Linked DNA regions of Caenorhabditis elegans. The protein of the gene in region 2 purifies or fractionates together with the protein of the main gene of each other region. This does not show direct contact. Each region holds a gene or a part of one and is shown on either strand. Other genes may lie near its edges.

Region 1 (7,032 bases), on a different chromosome or scaffold from region 2:
AAATGTATACCTATTTATGCTATATTTCATATTAGAGACATAACAAAATTTTTGAAAAAAAAGTGTTTCTTTGTGATTTAACAAAGTTATACATTAGAAATGAGTTGTTGAATTTTTTCAATTTATTCCATACCAAAACTACTGCGTTCAGAAAAAACATCTGGTTTCTGCATAAGTTCCGTGAGTTTGTGTGTCATTTTTTTGAAATTTTTGAGGTCAAAATCAGTAGTTTTAGTCAAAATTGTTTTTCAAACTTTTGATGTGTGCGGAAAATTTCGAAATTTGCCGAGCTCGGCAAATTCCCCAAACATACTGTTTTGAAATTTGCCGAGCTTGGCAAATGGTGAACTTGACAAATTCGGCAAATTTGTCGCTTGCTCCTGCTACACAAGTACCAAAAAATAAATATTAGAACAACAAAACGTTGACAAAATTACGGTTGAAGCATTCTAGCACCTTTCGATTGTCACACTAAACAATCGATGCATAGATCCCAATTTTCACTTACACTTGCAAATGTGCTCCAATGAAATTACCATTTGCACTACTGTTGTGTTATCTACGTAACCGTTGTGGTTCTTTGGAGTGGTGTGTCTGCGCGCGCACACCTTCGCCTCTCACACCATTTTCACCCCACTCATCTTTGTTACTGCACACCCCTGATTTGTCGTCTTTCCATTTTTCGTTCACCTCTTGACGGATTGATGCTAATTTTATTGTACCGAGCTGTTTAGAATTCAACTTTTTCAATAGTCCTAAAGCTTTATATCTTGCCAGGTTGCCATATTTTCTTATTTTATGATTTTCTCAGCTATCTAAAATGCGGTACTTGTGAAAGTATACCTGGATTTAAAATATTAATCATTTTGAAAATTTTACGTAATTATGTTCTATACTATGTCCATAAGGATTAATGTTTTTCTAAACCTAAGAATACAAATCAATTTCACGTTTTGTTTAAATTGTAATTTTTAAAAGAAATGAATGGAAAACGTATTGAAACATATTTTTGAGCTAGGTATATTACACAAGTACCTAAAATAGATACATGTTTCGTCACAAAATAAGGAGCCCGTCAGCTAAATCTTACTTTTCGGTTTTCTTCTACCCAAATCCGCTCTTTGAAATCACCAATGAGTGTCGCATGTAATTGACGACCATTGGGAGATGAAAACCGGCTCCAAGGGGTGACAAGAAAGATGCTCCGGTCCGGGGGTCCGTTTTTCGAAAAGCCCCGCATCTGGTGCGGCCTAGCGGATAGTAGTAGACACACACACACACACACACGCACGCTCACTCACCATTCCTCTTCCCATTCCCCGCTCGCCTCTGACCACACCACACATACGCACACACTGGCCGAATGGGTTGCGCTGGGGCAAGCAGTGGAAGGAGAAAGAGGAGGACGCTGCATAATGTGTTAGAGGTTATTTTCTTTTCGGGGTCCCCTCTTTTCCGTCCACTCGTTTGTCATTGATCGTGGATGGATCGTTTACTTGCGGTTGTGTGTGTGTGTGTGGAACGAAAATGTTATGACGGCGTGTGCGCAACCCGAAGGGCTCGTTTTATCTCTTTTCACAAATTGTCTTTGCCAATCTATCGTTCCGTTCGGATTTTTTTTGTTACATGAAATATAATATGTTATAAATCTCATTCTTTTCAATGGATCAAAATTTTTGGAGAGATTTTTTTTTTCAGGTGGAACATGTCGTATCAAGATAACAGGAAACTTCCGAAAGACACGAGGAGTTGCGTTGGAGGTTTTCGGTATGAAGGACACAAGAAGCAACTACGACCAAGATATGCACAATCTGAAATTGGCGAGCCATTTATACCGAGGTTTTCTGCAATTGCTAGTGAGGTAAGCCTTTTTTTTGAAGATACATTTTAAAATGAAACTCAATTAAATGAGGAGTAACGGCTCTGGGTACCAATATGTGCTCAAAATGAACACATTTTTTTTGTAATGAAACTTCTCAACAGTGTTCAAAATGTTTTTAGTCGGTTTAAAATTTAAAGAAAGGGTTAATTTTTTCACATTTTGAGCAGGCAATTTTTATGCCAGTAGGTAACCAATTCAGGTAATTTTTGATTATCTATTCGCTTAAAAAGTTCCTTAAAAAGTAGGCCTGAAATTAGTTAAAATTTGAAATTTGTCCTACTCGTCAATGTCGTTGCGGCTGGAATCTTTTTTTTTGAAATTTCCGTAAAATTTTGAGTATACAATGTAATTATCCTGCGTTTTCAACTTTATTTAATTATTTTAAAGGCGATGAACGAAGAGATTTGGTAAAGTTTTTAAAAAACATAAATAAATGAAATACCGTGAGATAAACAACCAAAATATTCAATAAAAAAAAACAAAAAAACTGCTGTGTCACGGAAACGTGGCCAAAATTTGAGAATTTTTTAAAAAAATTCGTCTTTTTTTTCGAAATATTGAACCTCCCATAAATATTTTTTAGAAGTTTTATTACGAAATTCGTTTTTAATTCAGTTTCTGAAACTCCTTAAATTCTTTGTTCAGATGTGTCAAAATAAGATATAAGCCGACCAAATATCTTATCTAAAATTTAAAATGTCATAAACGCCGAGTCGATATACATATCTTATCGCTTTGCGTTTTCACTTTTGGAAAATCTATTTTTGAGTACATCTATAATTCATTTGCAGGGCCAGAAGATTGCACCACCTAACGAAGACTGGGCAGACAACACCACCGTGCTCACTGGAATGACGACGGATTCTTTCACAATGGAAGAAAAAGTGATTTATACCCCACCAATTGGACGTGTCATAGGAAGACGGTAAATGTTCTTTTTTTCTAATTTCACTTTTTATAACTATTGAAATTCAGGTGCTCTAGGTTTGTCTGGCTGTTGGCCTCGTCGTTACTTTGCATTATATCGGTGGTCAGTGCGCCGATAATGTGTTCATTGCCTATAATCGCACCACGTTTCGGCTTCAGCATGCCGGCAATTCAATGTGACGTGAGTATTTCGAAAACCAATTATATCGCATTAAAAATATAATGTATTGCAGGTCGATTGTGAAGGACTCCTGTTTTTAATGGCAATCAAAACAATCTTTTTGGTAATTGCAATTGGAGTTCTTTATTGGAGGAAAGCCATGGCAGACATGCCCAGGTTGTACTTTGTACGAGCTGCGCTTACATTTTTAGTCATGTTTATCCTGTTCGCGTTTTGGCTCTTTTACATTGTCAGGATAATGTTTGAAAGATACGACAACTACAAGTACATCGTAGGTTTTTTTTTTCAAACACAGTGGTGGCCAAAAGTATATGCGTTTTTGGGATTTTTTTGCTGGCTTTTTTTATAGTTTCAAATTAGTATAGCGCACAAGCTAGGTACCCTAAAAATTAAAATTCAACTACATAACTGTTACCTAGAATGTTGTCTACTTGATAACTCAGGTTTCAATAAATTAAGTCATTGAAATCAAAAGATATAGCATCGGGCACCTCGTAAGTCCTTTTTTTGCCACGTCCCTTTAAAGGTGTAGCAATGCCGGCACTCATCGTGAACAATTTCTGAAAATGGAGGTTAAATTGTTCTAAAACTTTCAGTTCAAATGTGAATAAAAGTGTAAACATTAGTTATTTAAAATAAATGCCTAAAAATATTTTTGAAAAAAATGACCAGATTTTCAACCGAAATTTTCAATTCTACCGATTGCGTAAGAAAAAACGATTGATAACATGCAATATAAAATTATTTGCGGATTATTTGTTACTAAAACTTTGCTCATGAAAACTGTTCATTCTTGAGTTACAGTCATGAGATGTGGCAAAAAAATTGGCTCGCGAGGTGTCGGCCGCTGTAACTTAGTCTTTTAAAATGTTGAAACTTGTGTTATCATGTGGACAAAATTTTAGGCAACAGTTTATTTGTTGAACCATTTTTTTTAAGTTCATAATTTGTAGCGAAAATTCAGAAGCGGGTATACTGTTCGACTTCACTATGAATCATTTCGAAAAAAAATTGTGAAATCATAATTCATAATTTCAGGTTTCCTATTCCACATCACTGCTCGACGCTCTTCTATGGACACATTATCTCTCTGTTGTGCTCCTCGAGCTTCGTCGTCTACGTGCCCAATTCATTGTAACTATTGTTCGCGATCCAGACGGTGAAATGCATACATTGAACATTGGCGCTGGCTCAATTCAAGAAGCTGCCACCGAGATTCTTCGTTTCTACACAACTCGATTCTCCTCGTTCAACATTCACCTTGACAACGCCAGACAGACGGCGGTTGCAAAGCAGTCTGGAATGCAAGGAGGCACCGCAGGCTTCAAGATGTACAATATCGAGCAATTTGGAGGGCAGGAAACTGTTAGTGAAGTCAACACGCGGGCTTTGATGGAAGCCGCGGCGAGAAGAAGGATTGGTGGATATGCTGAAGTGATGCAGGAAGAACTTGATTTTGAAAAACGGTTAAAGAAGAGAAAGTAAGTGTTTTCAAATTCAGAACTAACGATTTGGATACTTTGAACAAATTTTGTAATGAAACTTCTCAAAAAAGTTTAAAACTTTTTTTAAACGGCTGTTTCAACTTCCTAAATATTATATTACTTTTTTCAAAGCTATAATTTCAAATTTTGTCCACTTTTCCCTGTCACAACTGTTGGAATTATATTTTAGAGTTGAGGTAGCGAAATGATTTTTTGGACACAAAATGGCCTAAAATTAAGGAAATTTTTATTGAGAAGTTCTGAAAATTGTTCAAAAAAAATTATGGCGGTTCAAAGCTTTTAAAAATGGCCTCTTTTCGAAACTCATAAAATCTTTACAGGTATCGCCTAATTGCCGCCGCCGAAGACGCATTCTCCCATGTTCAGAACACTGCCGAGTCCGGAACGAACCAAAAGCCTGGAATTAACAACCAGATGGACTCACTGACCGCTGCTCAAAACGTATTCACATGGATTGTCCGGCCGCTCACCAAATATTTAAAAACTACTCGTCTTCAGTCAAGACATCCTTCAGGAGAAGTTACGAGGCACATTGAAAGGTACGTTTTTTTTAATAAACAGAATTCAAAGATTAAGCTTTCAAATTTCAGATGCCTAACACTCAAGTTGTCTCATCGAACATTTCTCCAACGCTTCTTCAGTGACCGTATTCCCCAACGGGAAATTGTCGGGGAATCGAAATGGTCGGTAATTTGCGACGAGGCGGTGAGCTCTGGAGTTCAACACGGAACGTATCTAGTGCTCAAATCGCACAACCCAGTAAGATTTTGAAAAGTTAATGTTGAAGCTAAATACACATTTAAAACGACCGAATATCATAATTAAACACTCCAAAATTTTTTAAAGATTTTTTGAATTTTACAACGTATTGGCAAAGTGCCAAATTTTTGAAAAGTCTAAGCATTAAAAAAATGTAGAGCAATTTCGCATGTTCGGACACTTACAAAGTTCGAACACAAATGTTTAAAACAAAATTGAAGTAAACAAAATAGTAGAAACAACTTTTTAAATCTACTTCCAACATTATGAGTGGCAAAACTGAGTAATTGTCACTTTTTGAAAAAATAATTCAATTTTGTTCGAAACGTTTTTCTGTTATATTTGGCATTTTTGGCACCATAGCAGTAGTATGTCCCATATTTCCTCCAGTAGTTTTGCATTCAAAAAAAAATGCTTGATCGGTCGGTAGGGTTGCAAGAGCATTACAAAAACACTTTAACAAAAAATATTACGAATAAAATCCGAAAATTGGTATTTCTGCATTATTTAAAGCCGATTGGCAACAAATTTTTATCATTTTATTCTGCTAAACCCATGTACCTTTGAATGATTTTATATTGCAAATTTCGGTAAGTTATCTTACGCTATTTTGTTGACTTAGGTACATCTCAAGCAAAATTTGAAACCGCCATCAAAATTTTTAAAATTTTTGAAAAGATTCACTCAAACTTCGCTCGAAAAAAAAACAGTTACTTCTCAGACTTGCTAAACCGTTTAATATTACCTTTTTTCAGGATATCGACTGCGGAGTTCAACTTGTTTGCACCATCTCGAGTATTCCGTTCTTCAATTTGACCGAGCAAGCCAAACCTGGAAATGAAAAGTTTTCCTTAAAAATTAGCAATGAGTCGGCAGTTTGATTTGTGGGCTAGTCATCATGCCATCAAGTAAACTTCCAAAAAAATGCCCATTTGATTTGATCAGTTTTTTAAAAAATTTTTTTTACCTGTTAGCTTCTTTTCTTCAACTTTTATTCTACATCATGCTGTTTCTATGTACGGGTTCCTCATCTGACCGAGATGATAATGACTGACATTTGACATCTCTATCGCGCTGCGTCACTTACTTCTTCGAGTATTTATTTTTCTTTAAGTTTCTTCACATTGACTTATGGTCTGGTACCTTTTCAATATGATATGAATAATTTATTCAAGTTTAAGTTTTTCTTAATAAAAAAGTGATTATTTATTATGTATATTTGATTTTAAAAAAAGAAAAAAAATACATCATGGAAAGAAAAATCATTTTTATGAGATCAGAGGTGGTATATTTGTTTGAGTGTGACTGACTTAGCATGTTGATTAGATGTACATCAGGAAATACCCGTAACACATCACTAGAGAGAACATGTCAAATCGAGAGTACGCTATGAAAAATGAAGGAAACGGATATATGAAAAAAAATGCGAACAAGATAGTTTTAAGTTGGATTACACAAAAAGTCTCGGGAACATCAAGCTTCTCTTCTTCCTTCCAAATCTACTGCTGGTGATTCTCTGACTATTGAAAAACGTGGAAATTCTGTCGTTGATCGTGGGATCCATATCATATACAATACCGTTCTCATCCATGAACTGGTTGGGCGAGAAGTTGTCATTGATTTGTTTTTGCTGAAAACAGTATTGGTGAAAACCGATTCAAATCTAAAAAATTGAAAAGTATTGACTTACCCAATCATCTTCTCCGCGCAAATGAAGAATCGGACGGAAATCAGTGTTTTGCATTCCTATCCGACGTCGCGTCAATTTCTCAGATCTG
Region 2 (6,988 bases):
GATCAGCTGGAACAACGAACATCTCTTCTTGGCTACGTTTACTTCATTTTTTTACAACCATCAAAAACTACCTGATATTGAAACGAGAAATCATCCAAATTGCTCCCATCGCGAACATTTTCGCATTCCCCCTTCTTATCACCATCTTGTCTGAACCTCTTCTTCTTTTCCACTATTTCCAATTCCGCGTCCATTTTTCATTTCCGTTATCAATCACAAATCACTCGTTTGCTCCATTTTCTTCTGGTCACAAGCTCCCAGTTGTGTTGCTCTCGTCAGTTCTTTTTCATCGAAACGACGGGCCTATTTGTTCATTTGATTTGATTCGGGAATTGAATTTGACACCCATCTCCGGCACGAGACGTGTATGTTGGCTCTTCACATTGCGAAACTCGGCCTCCCAGTTCGGATGTTGGAAAAGTTTATTCAAAAGTTCAAATAATATGTTTATGTGCTCCTCGAGTTCGTCGATATTAAATTTCTGGCATCTTTTTTTGAATTTCGAAAACAATTAAATTATTTATATAATTTTCAGGCTCGATTCTGCGATTTTTAGCAAAAAATACGGTACCTCTCGACGCGCCAAATTTTTGATAAATGTAGAAAGCTGTGCGCCTTGACAGAGTACTGTAACTTTAAACTTTGCTGCGGAATTTCCATCGATTTTTTATAGTTTTCCGATAGAAAATATTGATTTATTAAATAACTTGATTAAAACAATGAAAATCCATGAATTTACCTATATAAAATCAAAACAATCCGCAGCAATGCGAGTTACAGTACTCCTTGAAGGCGCAAACAAAACTTTATCGTGTCGAGACCTGGTACCGTATTTTTGGTGCAATATTTTGCGTCCTTTTGCTTAAGAATATCGTTGATTTCAGACAATTTGTTTTAAATGTTTTCTTTGCTTTCTTCAACTTAAATATTTAAAAACTAAAAACTAATTTCCGAAATGCCAAAAAATTCTACCAGTTAGGTCATTGCTCTTATCTCTTCTACAGATCGATCGTCCCCGTTTTTCTCAATTCGATTCTCATCTATATTTTCCTCAATTCTCTCCAAACAATAACAAGAATATTTTCGAAATGAATCACTGTTTGAAAATTCTTGAATCCTTCCTCCCTCATCCGTTTGCATGTTCATTGCCCATTTGACACTCGAGCAGCAGGTGGCCTGTGTCTCTTCACTCTTTTTCGATCTTTTCATTAGGTCAGTGCTCATCATCATCATTAATTACTCTCGAATTCCGAGCCGTAATTATTCTTTACTGTGTGTGTGTGCTCCGTTCTCTCGGAAGTTGCGTAACGAGAGAGTATTACAAAAAAGAGATTAGAGGCATGTTGTACAGTAATCTAAAGATTAGATTCACTTAGATACCGAAATCTACTATTCTTTGTCTTTCTTTGCCACGTTTCTCACTATAATTTCACGATTCATTGATTCGATTTAGCACTTGGAACCAATGTCAACATTACACCATTTCACTTTTTTTGAAAATTCAATGTTTTCTCATCAATTGAAGGTCAATTTATGGACCGAGTCTTCTATTTTGAATTCCAATAAAACCTTCCAAAAAATGTTTATAGAAAATGTTTCGAAGAGAAATCCCTAAATTTAGCCAAAATTTTTAATGTGTCATCTTTGCCAACTGCCGGAAAGTATTTGTGTTGGTTTTCTGATATTTCGAGAAAAAAAAAGATTTTTCGTAAAATATCTAAAATTGTTGGCCATTTTCCTCCGTTTAGAAGAATTTTTTGAAAATGTTTATCCACATCAACAACTCATTAAAAATTTCACTTTTTGTTAATTTTCTAAACATTTTTTTTCGATTTTTTCTGAAAAAGATTTTAGCTATTTACTTAAGTTCGGTTTTTTTTCCAAATTTTGCCAAAAATCATTTTTCTAGAATTTTGTTCTCTCCATTTCACAAACTATTAACTAAATAATGTTGAACTTCTTCTATACATATAACCAAAAAAACTATTTCTTTAATAATTTTTTATATTTTCAGACGAATCCTGCTATGAACTAACACTTGTCAATCTGAAATCTCTTCAAAACTATCAATTACAATGCATCGACATATTCTGATATTATTTTTATTCGGATGCTTATCAGCTGATCAACGACTCTCATCAACTTCAATTTCATCGATGAATGGATTCTCAACAACTCGAAAATGTGAACATATTACAATTCCAATGTGCAAAAATCTGGATTACAATCAAACAGTATTTCCAAATCTTCTCGGACATACAACACAATCTGAAGCTGGTCCAGCAATTGCGCAATTCAATCCATTAATTAAAGTTAAATGCTCAGAAGATATTCGTCTCTTTCTTTGTACTGTCTATGCACCTGTCTGTACAGTACTCGAAAAACCAATTCAACCATGTCGAGAATTGTGTTTATCTGCAAAAAATGGATGCGAGTCATTAATGAAAAAGTTTGGATTTCAATGGCCAGATCAATTGGATTGTAACAAATTCCCAGTAACTGATTTGTGTGTTGGCAAGAATTCCAGCGAGTCGAGCAACTCTAAAAAGTGGGTTTTCTGCATAATTTTATGAATAAGAATTTATAATTGATATATATTTACAACAAAAATTTCAAAAGTACCCAAAACATGAATTAAAGTTTAAATTTACGGGAACCGTTCTAGAATCCTTTTTTTAAATACAGCGAGAAATTAAATTGTAAATTCAGTTAAAATCATCGGTTTTGCATTTAAAGAAAAATAATAATAAATTCAGAATGGCCTGCAAAGACCGAACCTCGTAAGAGTTTTCAAAAAAAAAAAGCTCTCTGAAAATTAAATTTACGGCCGCTGTGATACTGACAAGTTTGGCTGAATTTAAGTATTATTCCGAATTTTTGAGCCCCATAAAAACTCCTACTCCAAAGCGTCAAATAGTTTTTTATCAAAGTTTTTGAATTTAGAAATTTTCCGAAAAAAATGTACATCGAGATTTCTAAATTCTTTGTTTTATCGAACAATAAAACAAGTTTCCGTAGATCGAAATATAAAATATTTCAAGTTACAGAAGTAGTAATGACGTCACATTCGGTGTTTCAACAATTGCCAACGAAGTTGTCCTTTCTCCAAAAAAATGCCCTCATCATATGCATACAACAAGCGGATCTCATTTTTCATTGCCTCTTCTCAGTGGACGCCTTCCTGAATGTTCATTAACATGTGAAGCTGACAATCAAGTACCAATGATGTTTGATGGACGTGTTCGACGAATTCTTCGAATCTGGACAGCAGCATGGTCTGTGGCATGTTTCGTGTGCTCTTTATTCACTCTTGTCACATTTCTTGTTGATTTATCACGATTCGCGTATCCAGTTCGACCGATTTTGTATCTCGCGTTCTGTTATCTAGCAATTTCTACGGTTTATATGATAGGTGAGTTGAATTTTCTGTTTTTTTTAAATCAGATTTTTTAGAAACTAAAAATGTATTTCTACAGGCGTAGTCGGTGAAGATGGATTCGCTTGTGGAACGTATGGATCTACTCCAACAACACTTGTTACGCAAGGAGGAGAAAATGTTGGATGTAGTGCTCTTGCTGTTGTTCATTACTTTTTCTTCATGTCAAGTTGTGCGTGGTGAGTTTTTTCGTTAATTTTTGTATTTTAACGAAAAAAGTACCGTTTTTTGTACCACAAATAGAAAACTGGTTTTGAAAATGTGCATTCGAAAAAAAATCGGCATGTTTTTCTTTTGTTCAAACACATTTTTCAACAAAAAAACGACAACTGAAACATTTTTTTTTTAAAGAACTTTTTGAATATTTTGATAAAAATTTTAATTTTTATAATTTCGAGTGTAATTTTTCAGAAAAAAATTACATTTATGATTTTCGACAATTTTCAGTAACAAAAATCTAAAAAATATTTTTTTTAAACCAAATTTTAAATGAAAAAAACCCCGTTTCCGGAAAATCGGAAAATCAAAAAAAAAATTCAATTTTTATCAAATTTTGTTCATGAAAAAAATGTATTTTTTCTTCAAACAAAAAAAAAACAAAAATCGAAAATTTTTGTTTTCATTGAAAAATCGAAAATCGACACCCAAATTTTTAATCTTGATTTAAACAGCTATCAGCCTTTTTAAAATGATATTTTATATACTAAGTATTCTTTCAGGTGGCTTGTACTGTGTCTAGCCTGGTTCCTGGCGGCAAATCTGAAATGGGGAGCTGAATCAATTGCTGCTCTGTCACCATACTTCCACGCAATGTGCTGGGGAGTTCCAGCAGTTCTCTCGGTTACTGTACTAGTGACAAATTCTGTCGATGGAGATGTATTTACTGGAATCTGTTCAGTTGGAAATTTGAATCCCTCTGCTCTCGTCTATTTCTTTTTCACTCCGATCGTTGTATCGTTGGGTTAGTTTTTTTGTGAATATTATGGTGGGGGAAGACCGAAATTGAATTCGTTTCGTTGTGTGTTCCATCGTTATTTATCTTCGTTTTCTTCTCAGAAATGTTCTATTTGCAGCACTCGGAGCAGTTTTACTCGTTTGTGGAATTTGGTCAATGATCCGTATTCGAAGTTATATTAAACTTCAACACGCCGATGTTGAGAGGAATATCAGTAAATTGGAGAAATTAATGTTGAGGTTCGATATTTCAAATTTTTGAAAATCTTCAAAAGTACCTGAGCTTTTTTAATCAGAAAAGAAATACTTTCGATTTTTGGAAAACGAAAAATTGGAAAAACATGTACAGAAAAAGACGAGCAAACTAGGTTTACTGATGTAGATATATTGATTTCAGTTTGGAAAGTTGATAAATTATTCTAAAACCCGAGAATTCCCTGGAAATCATTTTTTATTTAAAATTCCAAAATTTCAGAAAAAAAAAACGAAAAAATTGGATTTCCTAAGAACCGAACAAAATAAGAAAAACTTAAGAATCGCTTTTCTGATATTCGTTTCATATTATCATACAAATATTATATTTTCAGAATCGGTGCCTTCGCCATAATGTACTCTCTACCAACTGCAATGAATGCTGCAATTATGTGGTATCAGGCAGTAAATATGCCTGCCTGGCTTGAAGGATGGCTTCATCATCGATGTGTTCGACTTCAAGATCGAGAATTATTCGGTTTCACGTATCCAGTTGATGATTGTCCGATGGATCCGAAAGTTGCAGCTCCGGAGATTATTGTTTTTCTTTTAAAGTTAGTTTGAAACTGTGAATCAGTTAAATTTCAATCTGTATAATCTAAATTTGATTTTCTGATTTTTGCGCCAAAAATGCGACATCCGGTTTCGACAAGACGAATGTTTGTTAAATGCAAAAATGTATACGCCTTTAAAGAATACTGTAGTTTCAAACTCTTGTTGCTGCAGAATTTTCATCGCTTCTTGATAAAAAATATTCTTATTTAAATATTAAGCAATTCAAACACAAAAAGCCTAACATAAGAAAAACTATTCATGAAAAATCGATGTAAATTCCGCAGCAACGCGACTTCGAAGTTACAGTACTCTTTAAAGGCGCATATTCGACAAAATTGGATCGTGCCGAGACTGCATAATTTCGCGTCTAGTTAATATGAATTATTTATCTTGATTCGAAACCCCTAAATGTTCTTATTTTCAGATATGTGTCTCAATTGGTTGTTGGTATAACCTGTGCCATTTGGGTTGTCTCTTCAAAAACTCTTTCAAGTTATCACAAGGCTTACCTGGCACTCTCTTCGAGGTCACCTACTGTACCTGCTCATGTTGATCAGGTTAATATGAGGTGATAGTCTCTTCTTGTCATTTTATCCTATTTATATGTATTCTCATTCCTTTTCTCACTTTTTTCCCAACCAACTCAAATGTTTCTTTTTCTTCATTCTTTGTAACTTTTCTGACTTATTCTTATGCTCTCTCTTGCTCATCGGACGGCGCCCATCGGTCCCCTTCCTCTCACAGAATCATTCCCCAGAGCATGATCCATCTCTGTGTCTACACTCTCCTCGTCTACTCGTTGTCTCTCAATGCTTCCTGATTTGAGTTGCGACGAGCACATTTCTAAGAACCGGCTCCCAAAGATGCGCTCTTACATAGCAAAAGAGAGACAACGAGTGGAAAAGATGGTGAAAAATGATATTTTTGAGTGGAATTACATTGAAATCTGACAAAAAGGGCAGAAAGAAGCTTGAGAAAAGTCAAAAAAGAACCCCCTTCAATTCAGGTTACTGTAGATCAGTTCTCTCGCTGCCATTTTTCATGTATCTCGTTTATTCATGTTCTTAAGTTCTGTTGTCACCAGCTCCAGCACAAGGTTCACACACTTTTTTTCACACTTTGAGCACTCCAATCAGGGTAAAACCACTTTCATCCCAGTCTTTGTCTCGAATTTAGAGTTATGAATTTATTACTCATTATTTATGCGGTTGCTTATTTTTCTTCATCCTCAATTTCTTTTTCATCGTATATTCATATATAAATTATACATTATTATTATTGTTTAATTTGTGACACGGCGATTGAAAGAACCTAAAATAAGGATTGCAAAGAAAAACGGATGGTTATGAACTAATAATAAAAGTCATGGAAATCCTTGAGAATTGATTTTGAAAGACAACAAGCGAAACAGACTCCGACCAATTGAATTGCTGCCAAAACTGCACAAATTCCGCCGACCATTGCTCCATTCTTGAGCACCCATTCTGCAATTAAAAAAACAATCAAATTTCCGATAAGCCCAATCATGCTCTATTGAGAAAGTGCAACAGAGCACACTTTGATCTTCTTGGAAAAAAAAGACTAACGTTCGACACTGTGAATGCATCCGGGCTCAAAGAGTGGAGCATTCTCTCGAGCACATCCCTCGATTTCTTCAATGCAACATGAATCAGGAATTGTTGTGAATGTGAGCCAATCGGATGAATTTGTTACTCCACAACATTCAAACAACTAAAATTGAAATTAATTTGAATTTTAAATGCTGTAGTTCTACTTTAATTTTTTTTTTGG

The links. Proteins that work in one complex are often made in the same cells at the same time.
Region 1: the proteins of mom-5 (region 2) and vang-1 purify together in Caenorhabditis elegans (affinity purification with western blotting, with the first as the bait; one study listed by BioGRID). This does not show direct contact.

What each region holds. Positions count from the first base shown.
Region 1 is NC_003284.9:2,884,167-2,891,198, forward strand, and holds vang-1 (Vang-like protein), read left to right. Parts: upstream 1-1,691; 5' UTR 1,692-1,705; coding exon 1,706-1,861; intron 1,862-2,673; coding exon 2,674-2,807; intron 2,808-2,857; coding exon 2,858-2,990; intron 2,991-3,042; coding exon 3,043-3,261; intron 3,262-4,028; coding exon 4,029-4,471; intron 4,472-4,815; coding exon 4,816-5,034; intron 5,035-5,085; coding exon 5,086-5,254; intron 5,255-6,009; coding exon 6,010-6,135; 3' UTR 6,136-6,515; downstream 6,516-7,032. Other genes in the region: B0410.3 (Neuropeptide-Like Protein), read right to left, coding at 6,705-6,884, 6,945-7,032.
Region 2 is NC_003279.8:9,963,566-9,970,553, forward strand, and holds mom-5 (Protein mom-5), read left to right. Parts: upstream 1-2,014; 5' UTR 2,015-2,075; coding exon 2,076-2,548; intron 2,549-3,041; coding exon 3,042-3,412; intron 3,413-3,476; coding exon 3,477-3,615; intron 3,616-4,155; coding exon 4,156-4,397; intron 4,398-4,509; coding exon 4,510-4,630; intron 4,631-4,977; coding exon 4,978-5,196; intron 5,197-5,621; coding exon 5,622-5,769; 3' UTR 5,770-6,472; downstream 6,473-6,988. Other genes in the region: tsp-7 (Tetraspanin), read right to left, coding at 6,548-6,681, 6,784-6,928. UniProt on the Caenorhabditis elegans protein: Receptor for Wnt proteins.